Canis lupus familiaris: one gene and its partner. The protein of the gene in region 2 interacts with the protein of the main gene of each other region in a biochemical or structural test. Links are inferred from orthologs where the notes say so. Each region holds a gene or a part of one and is shown on either strand. Other genes may lie near its edges.

What was found. The genes of interacting proteins can lie anywhere in the genome.
Region 1: the proteins of RNF181 (region 2) and ITGA2B form a complex in vitro, tested with the Homo sapiens proteins (2 studies listed by BioGRID). The link is inferred for Canis lupus familiaris from reciprocal best matches to the Homo sapiens genes RNF181 and ITGA2B.

The regions. Positions count from the first base shown.
Region 1 is NC_049230.1:18,922,265-18,929,660, forward strand, and holds the start of ITGA2B (integrin alpha-IIb), read left to right. Parts: upstream 1-3,227; 5' UTR 3,228-3,243; coding exon 3,244-3,431; intron 3,432-4,972; coding exon 4,973-5,094; intron 5,095-5,181; coding exon 5,182-5,279; intron 5,280-5,383; coding exon 5,384-5,549; intron 5,550-5,824; coding exon 5,825-5,874; intron 5,875-5,953; coding exon 5,954-5,999; intron 6,000-6,100; coding exon 6,101-6,229; intron 6,230-6,549; coding exon 6,550-6,597; intron 6,598-6,761; coding exon 6,762-6,805; intron 6,806-6,942; coding exon 6,943-6,996; intron 6,997-7,143; coding exon 7,144-7,196; intron 7,197-7,374; coding exon 7,375-7,396. UniProt on the Homo sapiens protein: Integrin alpha-IIb/beta-3 is a receptor for fibronectin, fibrinogen, plasminogen, prothrombin, thrombospondin and vitronectin. It recognizes the sequence R-G-D in a wide array of ligands.
Region 2 is NC_049238.1:39,830,026-39,837,275, forward strand, and holds RNF181 (E3 ubiquitin-protein ligase RNF181), read right to left. Parts: upstream 4,237-7,250; 5' UTR 4,166-4,236; coding exon 4,080-4,165; intron 3,285-4,079; coding exon 3,154-3,284; intron 2,978-3,153; coding exon 2,868-2,977; intron 2,687-2,867; coding exon 2,612-2,686; intron 2,354-2,611; coding exon 2,294-2,353; 3' UTR 1,522-2,293; downstream 1-1,521. Other genes in the region: TMEM150A (transmembrane protein 150A), read left to right, coding at 23-150, 361-538, 802-1,043; VAMP5 (vesicle-associated membrane protein 5), read right to left, coding at 6,880-7,089.

The sequences.
Region 1 (7,396 bases), on a different chromosome or scaffold from region 2:
CATGAGAAACCAAATTCTCGAATTACCAAACTTCTCTCAAGTCTGATCCTTCACATAATTCCAGTTTCAGCTGATGGTATGTCCTACCAGCCAGTCAGGCACCAAAGCTTTGAATTACTTTGACACCTCCCTACCACATCCAGTTACTGATGGTGTAATCTCCCCTTTCTGATTCCTGTCATCAGTATCCTGGTTCAGGCCTCACCACCTTTAATGGAGGGGATTGCAGTGGCTGCCCATCTGATCTTCCCACTAAGTCCTGCCTTTTTCAGTTCGTTCTATCCACAGAGAAACCGTGTAATCATCTGAAATGGAGCACAATTGGTCAATGTAGCTCTTATTCCCTGACTTAAAAAATCTTTATGATTTTCCAACTCTTAGAGTTCAAATTTCTTAAGGCATTCAAGGACCTCCAGCGATTTGACCCCAGCCTTCCATTCCACCCTCATGCCCCAATCCTCACCTTTGGACACCCAGTGCTGAGTTGGCCACTTGCCTTTTCCCTATAAAAAATTTTTTTTTAATTTTTATTTATTTATGATAGAGAGAGAGAGAGAGAGAGAGGCAGAGGGAGAAGCAGGCTCCATGCACCGGGAGCCTGACGTGGGATTCGATCCCGGGTCTCCAGGATTGCGCCCTGGGCCAAAGGCAGGCGCTAAACCGCTGCGCCACGCCACCCAGGGATCCCTGTCTCTTCCCTATAATCGACCTCTATGGTCTTCTGCTCTCTTTGCTCATGTTATTTCCTGTGCCTGAAAACCTCTTCATTCTCAGACAGAAGGCAACATGGTAGAATGGTGAAGAACATGGATTCAAGTGTTTGAATCCTTGTTTGGCCACCCATTGGCTATGTAAGTTTAGGCAATTTACCTAAAACTATGTGCGATGGTTTCTGCATTTATAAAATGGGCATAATAGTACCTATTTCATAGGGTTGTCAAAAAGAACAAAGATAGGACTTCAGTTAGGCATAATGTCCACTCTTTTCAAGGCATTCTTCACTGTCCCTCTGCTGCAGTTACATGTGTTCATGTCCTAATTCTGAGCTAAGTTCTTTAAGGATCCCTGACCATTATCTTTGTATTTATCACTCAGTGCCTTGAGCAGAATAAATACCCTTTTTTAAAGATTTTACTTGGGATCCCTGGGTGGCGCAGCGGTTTGGTGCCTGCCTTTGGCCCAGGGCACGATCCTGGAGATCCGGGATCGAATCCCACATTGGGCTCCCGGTGCATGGAGCCTGCTTCTCCCTCTGCCTGTGTCTCTGTGCCTCTCTCTCTCTGTGACTATCATAAATAAATAAAAATAAAATAAAGATTTTACTTATTTAAGGGTGCATGGGTGGCTCAGTTGGTTAAGTGTCTGCCTTCAGCTCATGTCATGGTCTCGGGATCGAGCCCCACATCAGGCTCCCTGCTCAGTGGGGAGCCTGCTTCTCTCTCTGCTCCGCACTCGTGCTCTCTTTTGCTATCTCTCTCTCTCTCTCTCTCTATCTCTCAAATAAAATCTTTAAAAAAAAAAGATTTTTTTATTTGACAGCAAGCACACAAACAAGCGGAGCAGAGCAGCAGGCAGAGGAAGAGGGAGAAGCAGTCTCCCTGCTGAGCAGGGAGCCAAATGCAGCTGATCCTGGGATCATAACCTAAGCTTAAGGCAGACGTTTAACCGACTGAGCCACCAAGGCCCCCCAGAATAAATACCTATTAAAGACCTCAGTGGGATGTGACAATATTGGGCTATACAGTATACAGCAGTAATACCACTTGGTTGAAGACAAGGAGAGAGTGGAAGGTAAGTATAGGACAGAATTAAGTATTCATTCTAGCAAATCATTGCATGCCCACCACAAGCTTAGCACTGGGAATTCAGCAGTGAAGAAAGTCCAGACTAAAGTTCAAGGAGCTTCTAATCTAATAAAGGATAGGATTTTGAGCTGTGTGCTGAATTATGAGAACAGAGGAGCTGAAAGGAAACCTGAATGGCACAGGATAGCTGGGCAGGATGCGATGATGGTTAAGTTTGGTTAGAAAATATAGAGCAGAAGGAGGATGTGGCAGTCTTCCTTTACTTGGAGCAGATCTCTTGAATTTCCTTACTGTGAAACTGCTTTTTGGAGGAAGACCTGCAGTGCCAATAAGACTTGTCACTCCTCTTCCTGTCCTCTAGAGAAAATTACCTTGCCTTTCTGCGCAAAACTACTTCTCTTTCCACTGTGTGACTTCATGTTTCCGTGCTCCCATTCAGTCTATCAGCAATACCTACTAAGTGTTGGGCTCTTGGCTAGGTCCTGGGGACACAGAAAGGAACCTTGCTCTCAAGGGAGTCGTGGACACAATCATGTCCATGAATGGACCATTACAAAACAGCATGATCGGTGCTGTGCCCATGTGTGTCAACCCCAGAATACCAGCCTGAGGACTTGAAGGAGGCTTCCCCTAGGCAGTGACCCCACTAGAATTAAGTCTTAATTGGACAAGAGCTCTGTCACCTAAGACTGAGGGTCTGCCTTCAACCAGAGAAGCTGGTGTATAGTCCCAGAACCTGTGAGCCTGAAGACTCAACTCTATCCTCATCTCCTTTCCCCTTCGCCACCCCTTCACCAGCACCAGCGGCACTGCTGTGACCACACTAAGACTTGGCCTGAGATGGAGGGAGAGTGGAGAAACCTGCTACACCAATATGGCTGACCAAGGCCCTGGAAGGAGGAAGTGGGTAAGTGCGTTATCCAAAAGGATATAGCAGCTTCAGGTCTTATCAGGGGACAGCACCCCTTCCTCCACCTCTGACCAAGTCAGAGTGGGCCACAGCAATGCAGACCACTGTGAGATGGAGAGCAAGAGCTGTAAAACAACTAGAGTGGACATGTACACACCATTATAGTTCATGGTTATCCTATCCCAAGCAGAAAGGAATGGTGGCTTAGACTAGCCTGGTGTTAGTGGAAATGTGAAGATTCAAGAGACATAGTTGAAAGGCAGAATCAACAGGACTTGGAGATAAACTACTCTCAGGAAAAGGGAGGAGTCATGGCTTTCAGCCATCAGCATCCACCCCCCAGGGTGCCCTCACCCTCTTCCTGGCAATCCAAGAAACCATATGGTTCCAGGGCCTGTAGCCCTTTCCTCTGCCTACTGCTCAGCAAGTGAGTTCCAGTCTGATAAGAAAAGCCTTCCTGTGGTGGAGACTGAAAGGAAGAGGAGGCAGCTAGCCCATTCCTGCCCAGGAGATTGTGGGAGAAGGAAGATGGCCAGAGCTGTATGTCCACTTAATGCCCTCTGGCTTCTGGAGTGGGTGCAGCTGTTCTTGGGACCTGGTGCCATCCCTCTAGGCTGGGCCTTGAACTTGGACCCAGTGCAACTCACCTTCTACACAGGCCCCAATGGCAGCCACTTTGGGTTTTCACTGGACTTCTACAAGGACAACCATGGGAGGTAAGGCTGGGGTGAAGTTTGGGTGTTGGGGAGAGAGTTACTATCACTACTTCTGTGAACCCATTTGTGATAGAGGTTGAGCAAAGTGACTTCTAGGCTCTATTCAGACAGTTCTTTTTAGGAATACTGGCAGGAACTAGCTCAAGTAAAGGTGTCAGGGAGGGGCACACATGGAAAGGTGAGCACCAAAACTACAGGAAAAACAAAGGGAAGATAAAAGTTGATGCCTTCTTTTTTCCTTCAAGGGTCAGTTGTATGACCTATTCCATCTTTGTTATCTCAAAATACAGAGAGGAGCATGTGTCTTAAATTTACTTGCAAAACTATCTACCTGCCCCCACCTTGCTGTTCTATTCCATGTCCCTCTTCCCCATCAAAATTACAGATATTTGAAAAGAAACAATAGAGCATTAATGGTTGGGATTAGTCAGCTGCGAAATCAGACTTCCAAGATTAGAATCCTGGTTCCTTCTCTTTATTGTAACTACCCTGCACTACTTATTATGGTAGATGCTGTGATGCCCACCTCTGGGGAGTGGGAATGGCAGACAGCCTTCAACTATCTGACTCTTAGGGAATTTCCTTTGCTGAAGAGAGTCACCTCCCCCAAAGTCAAGTCCCTTTTCCAATGGAACCTACAATCAATGACTGATCAATGAGGAGTGTGGAGGGAGGTGTAAGGGTCTGATGTTCTCACCTCAACTTGGGACTGTTCTGAAGGGTCCTTTTTTTCTGGAGCTCTAGCTCCAGAGCTCCCAGGATGTTGCCTCATGGCTGTCAATGGGTCTGGATCTGCATTTGACCTCTTTCTCTGCCCACTCCTGCTTCTCTCCCTTTCTAAATACTGGCCTCATAGGCATTACTTAAACATCCTGCAAGCTAAAAGAAAATTATAGCATTTTTTTTTTAGTACTTGTTAAGCATTACTTGGCTGGCACCACGCAAAAATGTCCCTCATACCTTGATTTCATTTACTTCTGACATTGGTTGGTATTGTTCCCAATTTATATATGGTAGAGCTATGATTTGAACCTAGATCTACTAAAGTCTTTGGTGTTATCAGTATCCCACTTTAGAGGTGGCCAGTAGTTTCCCTAATCCTTCACCATTAAAACTAGCTCTTAGGAAAGCATCTGGTAACAGTATTCAGTTCTAGGAAGCATGTAAACCCCTGACTTTTGGTGTGGGGCACAGAAGTGAAGGATATGGAATTGGAGGGTGTGCAGAGCTTAGGAGGTCTTTTTCAGCAAGGATACAAACTCTTCATATTCAAATCAAACCAAAAGGTTATATAATACCAGCTTTACCGTTAACTGGCTAGATTACTTTAGGCACGTGGTTTCCCCACTGGGAGACGGTTTCATTGACAGTAAAATGAAAAGATTGGCCTCCATGGTCTGTGATGTCTCCTTGAGGGAAGACGATCCAGTGCCTTCCCAGGCACACAGCCCTTCCGGGTAGTGCTCTCAACACAGGCACCAGGGCAGGTGCTACCTCGGCATCTGCTCTGCGCCGCACTCACCCAGCTTTCCTACGCGCAGAGTGGCCTTCGTGGTAGGCGCCCCGCGGACCCTGGGCCGCAGCCAGGAGGAGACGGGCGGCGTATTCCTGTGCCCCTGGAGGGCCGAGGGTGGCCAGTGCACGTCGCTGCCCTTTGACCTCAGTGAGTCCTGCGCAAGGAGGGCAAAGGAGGGGCCACCCGGAGCTTGGGCAGCCTGGCTTCAGCGCCCACCCTTCTTATGCTCTCCAGATGACGAGACCCGACACATAGGCTCCCACACCTTCCAAACCTTCAAGTCTCGGCAAGGACTGGGGGCGTCGGTCGTCAGCTGGAACGACAACATTGTGGTGGGCGCCACGGAACGGGGAGCAAAGAGCAGTCGGGGGCAGGGACACGTGGGCGGGGATCCCGAGTCCCGCCGATTCCCCACTCTCCTTTGGCCCTGCTCCAGGCCTGCGCCCCCTGGCAGCACTGGAACGTCCTAGAAAAGACCGAGGAGGCCGAGAAGACGCCCGTAGGTGGCTGCTTTGTGGCTCAGCTCCGGAACGGCCACCGCGCGGAGTACTCGCCGTGTCGGGCTAACACCATGAGCTCGGTTTATGTGAAAAATCGGTTTAGTGAGTTCGGCTCCCTGTTTTGTTTCCGCCCGCTCAGGGCCACTTAGCTCCGCCCTCAGCACCTCCCCAGGAGCCGCCCAGTCCCCGGCTTTCGGTCCCGCATTTCCCCTTGGCCCAGCTCCTAGTCCCATCCCGCCTCGCTCAGCTTGGGGGCCTCGCCTGTAGGTTACCCCGTGGCCCCGCCCCGGCCCCCGCCCCGGCCCCGCCCCGGCCCCGCCCCGCCCCGCCTCTGCCCCGCCCCGCCCCTTCGCTGACCCCTCCCCTCCCTCCTCTAGACCAAGACAAGCGCTATTGCGAAGCGGGCTTCAGCGCTGCGGTCACTCAGGCGAGTGGGGAGCACTAGCGGCGTGGGGGGGGGGGCTTCCAAACACGGCCCCCCCTCACTTCCAGGGCTTCCCTTTCAGGCTGGAGTGCTGGTGCTTGGGGCCCCCGGCGGCTATTTTTTCTTAGGTACGTGCCCATCTGTACACTTCACACCCTTCTCTCGGCCTGGGGAGACGGGGAGACCGCAGGCGTCTGGGCCCCCACACCCGCTGTCCCTCGCGCCGTAGGTCTCCTGGTGCGGACGCCTATTGACAATATCATCTCGAGTTACCGCCCGGGCACCCTGTTGTGGCACGTGTCCTCCCAGAGCTTCACCTACGACTACAGCAAGCCAGAGTACTACGACGGCTACCGGGGTAACACTGGCACCCCCCTCCTAGGCCTCCCAGCCCTCTGAGAATCGCCGCCCACCCCGCGGGTCAGGTCCTGAGGTGCCTCCACCCTCTGGTCCCTCGGCATCCCCGCCACCGCCAACTCCCATTTGCCCCACCTTGCCTTTCCCACCCCGGATTAGCTGCGCAGCCCCGGGCTGACCTTGGCTTCTCGATGGCCTGTTTTCCCATCTACACAATGCAGGGTTTGGACTGGGTGGTCTCTGGGTCCCCCCTTCTTCCTTGCCCATGGCCTTCCCGCTGCTTCGCCCTCCCAGAAAGATTAATTCGTGCTGTCTCTTCAGGGTACTCTGTGGCTGTGGGCGAGTTCGACGGGAATCTCAACACTACAGGCAAGAAATCCATTTCGGGGACAAAGGATAGGGAGCCCCGCCCGGGGAGGAGCGCCTCCAAGCCCCGCACCGCACCAAAGTCTCCCCCGGGTTACAGAATCGCGGGCGGGAGGGTCGGTGGTAGGGTCGAAGGACCTCATTCACTGGGGTCTGGCTCTCCCCAGAGTATGTCCTCGGTGCCCCGACCTGGAGCTGTACCCTAGGAGCGGTGAGTGCCCCCTGTCCCGCCACTCGGCATCCCAAGCCTTCGACCCCACTCCTCAGCTTCAGGAGCCCCTTTCTCACTCGGAACGGGAGGCTGTCCTGGGGAGCAGGAATGACGCGCTCCTGTGCTTGTCCGTGCAGGTGGAAATTTTGAACGAGTACCACCAGACGCTGCACAGGCTGCACGGAGAGCAGGTGGAGGCCGGTTCCGGTGGGGGTGGCCGACGCTGGGGAATTGGAGCCCTAGAATGTTCCACGGGGTTTGGGGGGGGGGGCAATGTGCAAGAGAGGGTGCCTGTCTGGGCGGGGGACGGGGATTCAGTAAGCTTCGTCTTCCTGCAGATGGCTTCGTATTTTGGACACTCGATAGCCGTCACTGATGTCAACGGAGACGGGTGAGGCTCCTACCCGTTTGGGTCCCCCATCACCAGAGGAGTTGCCTGCTCTGGGTCGCCTCCTTTCCTCCCCCACTCCCACGTAACCACCGAGGGGAGCGGGAGGGCGAGAATGGAGCCGGCGAGTTTGGGCTAATCTCCCTAACCCACCCCGTGGCACCGCCCATCCGGCCTGCAGGCGGCACGACTTGCTGGTGGGC
Region 2 (7,250 bases):
TACCTGTGCTCTCTTCCTCCAGTGGTCCTGATTTGCCTGCTGCTCTATGGGCAGCTCCTGGAGCAGAGTCGTCATTCCTGGGTTAATACCACAACGCTCATCACAGGCTGTACCAATGCTGCGGGCCTGGTGGTGGTCGGCAACTTCCAGGTGGGCCCGCCTGCCTGCATGTTGAACTTTTTTAACTAATGGGTCCTGGCTGTCTGCAGGTGCCCTGTCCCCTGATGGCTGACCCAAGTTGCAGCCCTTCAGGGCTGAGGGAGGAGACAGAAGGTCTGGGAGGGAAGGGAGATAGAGGTGGGGAAGAGGGGTGGTGGAGGTAGGGCTGCTTCACAGATCAGCCCTTCTCTCTGGGCCCAGGTGGATCATGCAAAGTCTCTGCACTACATCGGAACTGGTGTGGCCTTCCCTGCTGGCCTGCTCTTTGTCTGCCTGCACTGTGCTCTCTCCTACCATGGGGCCACTGCCCCCCAGGACCTGGCTATGGCCTACCTGCGGATTGTGCTGGCAGCCATCGCCTTTGTCACCCTAATCCTCAGTATCCTTCCAGGACAGGGCAGCCAGGAGAGCATCTTCAAGCCCAGCCTTTCCCCACCCAAGATGCTGGGGGGGGTAGGTGGTGGGGAGTGGGGGAGAGCTTGGCACACGTATATCCAGAAAATACTGCCCAGGGTGTTTTCCTTCTTCCCCTCCCAGGTGGGAGACCAGGCTCTTTGGCCCAGCTTAGTTATCTATCTGGGAAGGTAGGAGTGTCACCACATCCCACGTGTCCTACTGAACACTTCCTTAGCCCCATTCCAGGTGGTGTCTTCTTTATGCATGAGAGCTCTCAGCTGCAGCACGGGGCAGCCCTGTGCGAGTGGGTGTTTGTGATCGACATCCTCATTTTCTACGGCACCTTCAGCTATGAGTTTGGGGCAGTTTCCTCAGAGACACTGGTGGCTGCCCTGCAGCCTGCCTCTGGCCGGGCCTGCAAGTCCTCCGGAAGCAGTAGCACTTCCACTCACCTCAACTGTGCTCCGGAAAGCATCGCCATGATCTGAGGCCTGGGGAGGGTGGCTGGCCCAGCCTCAGCAGCTCCCCACCTCATAACTTTGCATTTATTTTGTACCAAAAACAATTTTGAGAAAGTATTTTGTTGGGATATGGGTTTCCTTGCTGCTGGAGGAACGGCCATCCCATACCCACCTGTGCTATAGAAGAGCAGGCCTGGCTGCTGCCTGGGCCACACGCAACCTACTGCTTGACTCTGCAGTGTTTTATGTTTAAAGGTCACATATCCTCACTCACCCAGCCAGCCCTTCAGGTGCCTTCTACTCCCCAGTGCCGAGGCAACACCACTGGGGTTTCCCGCTGCAGGAATTGGGGGCTGGAAACAGCAAGAGGGATAGAAGTCAGGGAATAGAAGGGGGAGCACTCCTTAGTCTGTGGGAAGGCCCACTTTTGGGCCCACTGAGCTGCACTGGGATTCTTCACTCGGCCCCTTACTTTCAGGCAAATAACATAGCAGAACCACGTGGGTATTTTAATACTTTTTTTTTTAATCTATTAAAAGAATTCTAATTTGCATGTTTGTAGTCTGTTCTAAACAATCAGGAGAGGGCCTGACCCAGGTCAGCTTTCCCTAGGCAAAGGGTGGGAGGAATCCCCTGCCCTCAGGGAGAGTGCCCACTGCTCTTTGAAAGCAGGGCTGCCAAGAATAAAGGATGCCTGGTGCTATCCAAATATCCTTCAAGAGCTTGAAACCCTTTCTAGGCGTTAAAACAGTCTAAAGAACTGACCTGATCCTTCCCCAATTCCATGTGAAGTTTGCTTCTCTAGTAAGGGATATGGGGGCGGGGGAAGGAGGTCATCCAGAGAGCAACTTTGAAATGCTAGAAACGGTTTTCACAATGAAAAAAAGCCCGTGGGATTCCAAGGTTGACTAAAAATTGCAGGGGAGAGAGACAGAGGCTAGATTTTGTTTACCATCCGTAAGTAGCTATTGGATGCCAGACCCTGACACATTTTGCTTTCCAACGATGAACACCTAGGCCCAGTCACTGGCTGCTCCAGTGGCCAGGTTCTTGACCTGGGTTCCACTGCTCTCAGGCCAGTAGGCTTGGCAGGAAGGGACATGTAGCCCGGTACTTTCTGTGGTTCCCCCAACCACAGTAGGGACCTCATGGAGGATACAGAACCCCTGCCCAGGCCTGTGAGCAATGCAGTGCAGGGTGGGTAAAGAAATCTTTAATGAGGATTCAAGGTGCAGGAGGAAGATATTGTGGAGGACGAGTGCTCAACCCCAGGCACCTCATGTGTACATGGCTCCGTGGAGGTTCTCAAGCCGGTGCTTTTGCTGCTGCTTGCGAGCCTGAAGGAAAGAGGAAACACTGGGCATGGGTCATACCTGAAGCCCTGTGGGGGGAGCGATGGGACAGCTATCACTGTTTTCAGGCCCCAAGCATGTGCATCGCCAAGGCTCTTGTCCCTCACCAAAGTCACCAGGAAGACGACCAGAGTCAGTGACTCTGAGGCCTAACCAAGCCTGCTAAGGTAGGGAATGAGAACACTGAGGACAGCGACTAAGGGGTCCACATTACCACCCTCTTCACTTACCACCAGCCCTTACCTTATCTCGTCTGTGCTCCTCATAAGCGTCATCATCAGTGGGCAGCTCATGGCGGCACAGGGGGCAGGAATTTGTCTGAGAAAAGGAGGGCAGTGTTCCAGCCCAGGTCTGGTCTTTATAAGCTAACATCTGCCCCTTGCTCCCAGTTCCCACCCGTACCCTCTCCCTTCTCTGATCCCCTAACAGTCCATAAACAGAAAGAGGCTTGAGAATTGGGCCCAGGGCAGGGTAAGGGCTGAGAGAAAGGAAGCGGTACCTTGCTTAGCCAGGGTAGAATGCAGTTGGAATGGAAGAGGTGACGGCAAGGCATCTCAATGGCAGTCTCCTCCTCCTCAAATTCCAAAAGACACACGGGGCACTTGAGCTCTTGAGGAAGGAGTGCTGATCAGGAGAGCTGCTACAGGCCCTGCCTCCCGGCTCCCACTCCTGAAAGACATTCTTGCCCCAACCTGACCTGGAAAACTGAAGGGCTAGACCAGTCTAGCTTGGGAGCAGGTGCGTCTGGCAAACCTGCCCCAAATAGTAAGAATTTGTGTTCTCACCAGCCTGAGAGCTCCTGATGACTGTCCTGGGAAGGTTCTCAACCACAGCCTTGGCAGCAGGTGGAGGCAGATGATGATCCCAATCTACTACCAACCCCAAGTCTTCAAAGTCCATCCTATTGAAAAGTGACCTGGGAGGAACGATGCATGATCAGAACCGAAGAAAACCGTACTTTCTTTTTGCCCCCACAATCCAGTAGGCATTAACAGATAAATATTCTGTCGAGCCAGTACCAACAGCTAGCCCCCAAAAGTGTTCACTAGATAAAAAAGCACAATGGAAAATGGTTTACAGTTGCTATAAGACAACCCCAAGCATGCAAGCTATTTTGTCCCATTTTATTATTTTTTAAAGATTGTATTTATTTATTCAGGAGAGAGACAGAGAGAGGCAGAGACACAGGAGGAGGGAGAAGCAGGCTCCATGCAGGGAGCCCAACGTCGGACTCGATCCCGAGTCTTCAAGATCACGCCCTGGACCGAAGGCGGCGCTAAACCGCTGAGCCACCGGGGCTGTCCTAGTCCCATTTTACACATGAGGCAACAGGCTCAGAGAAATTACTCAGGCCATGTAGACATGACCTGGTAAAGCCAGATTCCAAGTGGCAATGGTGGTTTCCGTGCTTGTTGTTCCTAACGAATGTACCTACTCACGCCCACACGGCCCCTCCCCTGCTAGAACCGACTGCCCTGCCGCCCCCCACTCTCCCCTATTCGCCAGCTCCCATCTTTCCTACCATCCCCGGCCCGCCCACGGATGGTCCAAATTATCGATCTTCCTCGAATCTCGTCTCTGGACTAACTCTCCATCATAAGATTCATCCGTCCTCCCCAGACTCTCTGCCGTCTATAATCCGCCTTGTCCAGCCAGCCCCAGCCCAGATACCTGCTACCCGAGCCCCCACCCCCCAGCTCCGTGCACCCACCTTGCGAGCTCCAGCAACATACTGGTTCGGGCCTCCTGCTCGGAATCCAGCGGCTCGCAGTCGTGCTCATCGAAATAGGACGCCATGGCGGCGGGGCTGTCTGACACAGCCCTCGGAGGCCGCTGGACTGTGGCCCCACGGCGCTGGCCAATAAGTTGCGGGCCTGAGCGAGGAAGACCAATCAGAGCATCCGAAAGGCGGGCTCAGAGGCTCGTTAGGCGCATGAAAGCGGAAGTATTAATTCTGCTGCCTCTCGTTGGCTCGAACAAGTCAGGTGACCAAAGGCTACAGCCAATGGCAGGGGCTTGGGCCGGTCGGGAAAAACAGCTGTTTGGGGCTCCGACCCTGGGGGAGGGTATCTGCGAATGACGTGTGGGTCGGGTGCTCGGCGCCCTGAATAGCCAAGTGTCGGGGCTGTAGGGCCTTGGGTTCGCTCTGCGGCTCAGAGGGCCTAGGACGTGCAGGTGCTAGAGGCCCTCCAGAGAGCGAGGCGTGGCGCAGGGGGTCAGGGTCCTGCGAACCTGGAAGGACGACGTTCCCCGCTGCTCTGCCCGGTCCCCGCCCAGTGCTTCTGCACCTGCTGCACTCTGGGTAGTTCAGGGGTTGGCCCTTGATTACCCTCTCAACCCGCAAAACAAAAATGTCCTGATTATTTTTTGTTAGACACAATCAAGGGTGGGGTAAAAGTCCCCCAACGAGAGAGGGAAGATCCTTGCCAGGGAATCTAGGGCCTTACCCGCTCACAGAACTATGTGTGTGACCTTCAGCCCACTGCTCAGCCTCTCGGCTAGCTTCTGTAAAATTAGTGGCTTGATTTCAAGGAGTTTGCATCCCTGGCTACCCATGGCTATCCTGGAGATGGAACCAGGGGTTGCAGCTTTAGGGGGAAATAACCCTGCGTCAGATACTTCCCTCAAAGATTCTGATAGAACTGATCCAGGCCCTATAGGAAAGCTGTGTAGGCCAGCGGCTAATGTGTGTGTCCAGGCATCCTGCACACTTGGATTTAAATCTTAGCTCTGATACTAAGTAATCTAGGCCTGGGGGTGATAGTTTTAGAAGTTCTACAGGTGATTCTGATGTGAGGCAGGCTTGAGAACTGCACTAGATGAAATGGATGACAGCTACTTTTTATTTGGCATCTAGAACCATTACACTGATGGATATGTTACACACAATACAAATAATCCTCACAATTGTTCTGGGAGTTAAATATCCCTTTTTTCGTATGTAAACCCCAAGTCTCAAGTGACTTGCCCAAATCCACACGGCCTCTAAGTGGTGTTACCGACCAACTACACAGCCAAGCAGTTTTCTCCAGCTTTCCCAGAAAAAGATGGTAATGAGCCCAGTGGAAGCAACAAGCTCTGTGAGGGGTAAATCTCCACACAACTCTCAGGTTTGTTCTTGTTTCTCTGTCAGTAGCCCTCACTTCACCTAACAAGGAACTGCTTCTGTTACACACTTGACCTTGACCCTGAATTCCTCTTCCACACTTGAGTTTGCGATGCAGTCAAGTAGCCCAGGCAGAGACTGCCCAGCTTCCGTGACCCTAGTAGGGCTTTCTTTCCTTCTTCCATAGCCTTTACCCAATCATCTTTCCTGTGACCCTAAGGCCCTGCCAGCTTGGCCCTGTATGGCCTTGGAGCTTTGAAGAGGCTGAATTCTTTCCTACAGGACAAAGTCTAGGCCATCCTTTGTGACTGTCCATTACAGCACCAGAAAAGCCCTTCCCATTTTCTTTAAGGTTTTATTTATTGATTGAGAGAGAGAGAGAGAGAGGTGGAGACACAGGCAAAGGGAGAAGCAGGCTCCATGCAGGGAGCCCAACGTGGGACTCGATCCCAGGTCTCCAGGATCACATCCTGGGCTGAAGGCAGCGCTAAACCGCTGAGCACCCAGGGATCTCCCCATTTTCACTGCGATCTGCCTCATCTGTAATCAGGTGTAAAGCTTGAGGAAGAACGCCCAGGAGAAAAATTGAGGAGGACAGGGTGTCCAGAGAGGAAAAAAAATCTATCCAAAAGTGAAAGCCTCGTGAGATAAAAATCTTTGAGGTGCCTTCTTCTGGAGTCCAATTCTGAGCATCTTCAAGACATCAGAAAAAGGGGCGCCTGGGTGGCTCAGTGGTTGAGTATCTGCCTTTGGCTCAGGGCGTGATCCCGGGGTTCCAGGATCAAGTCCCACATTGGGCTCCCTGCATGGAGCCTGCTTCTCCTCCCCCTGCCTGTGTCTCTGCCTCTCTTTCTGGGTTTCTCATGAATAAATAAATAAAACCTTAATTAAAAAAAAAAGACATCAGAAAAAGAATATATTTCATTCTGACGTAAACAGGCTCAGAGGGCACTAGTTGAAGGTTCTGGTTTGGGAGCCACTCTCTCTTTGCACCTGCACCCCAGAAGTTTCTGTCCAGGTAGGATTGGATCACATACAAGGAAGGAAGAATATAGGGGCCACCTCCCAAGGGTGAAGTCCTTCTACCAACTTTCTAAACAACCCCAGGAGTGGAGGCCAAGAAGGATGAACCAACTTGGAGGACTTCACACATACATACAAACACCAGCTTTTAACCAAACAGCAGCTTTTACTGAGCTCCAGGTAGGGCTGGCCTGGCACAGCTAGTGCAGCAGGCTGCCCTCAAGGGCCAGTCTGTGGCGTGATAGGAGATGCAAAGGTGCACACATCAGAGTTGCTCTTCAGTGCTCAGTTGGGTGGCTCAGATGGGAGCAAACGCCAGGGTTCTCTGGAGACCAGAACCAGCCAGTGCGGCCCCTCGGCCTATCCTCAAGGCCCAGCTGGGTCAGCCCCCAGGCCCTGAGGCAGCGCCGGCGTCCTGGGCATGTGGAGCACTGCTGTCCCCACTGCTCCACGGGAGAAAGATGACCAGTAGCACAATCAGGATGATGAGCAGGCCAATGCCCACCACCAGCCCCAAGTAGATCCGGCAACGGACATTCTCCCAGCGCTTCTTCTGGGCCAGGTTTTTGGTTGTCTTGCTGAAGGCTGAGCTCTGTGGACATCCCCAGACACAGGTTGGGAGTTAGTGGTTCCCCCCAAGCCCCAGGGCCAGGTTCTCCCAACCACCCCCTCACGCCCCTCACAAGACCTAACCTCCTCCTGCATCTTCCCAACCTGTCTGCTCCCCTTCTCCACAGAGCCTCCCCTGGGACC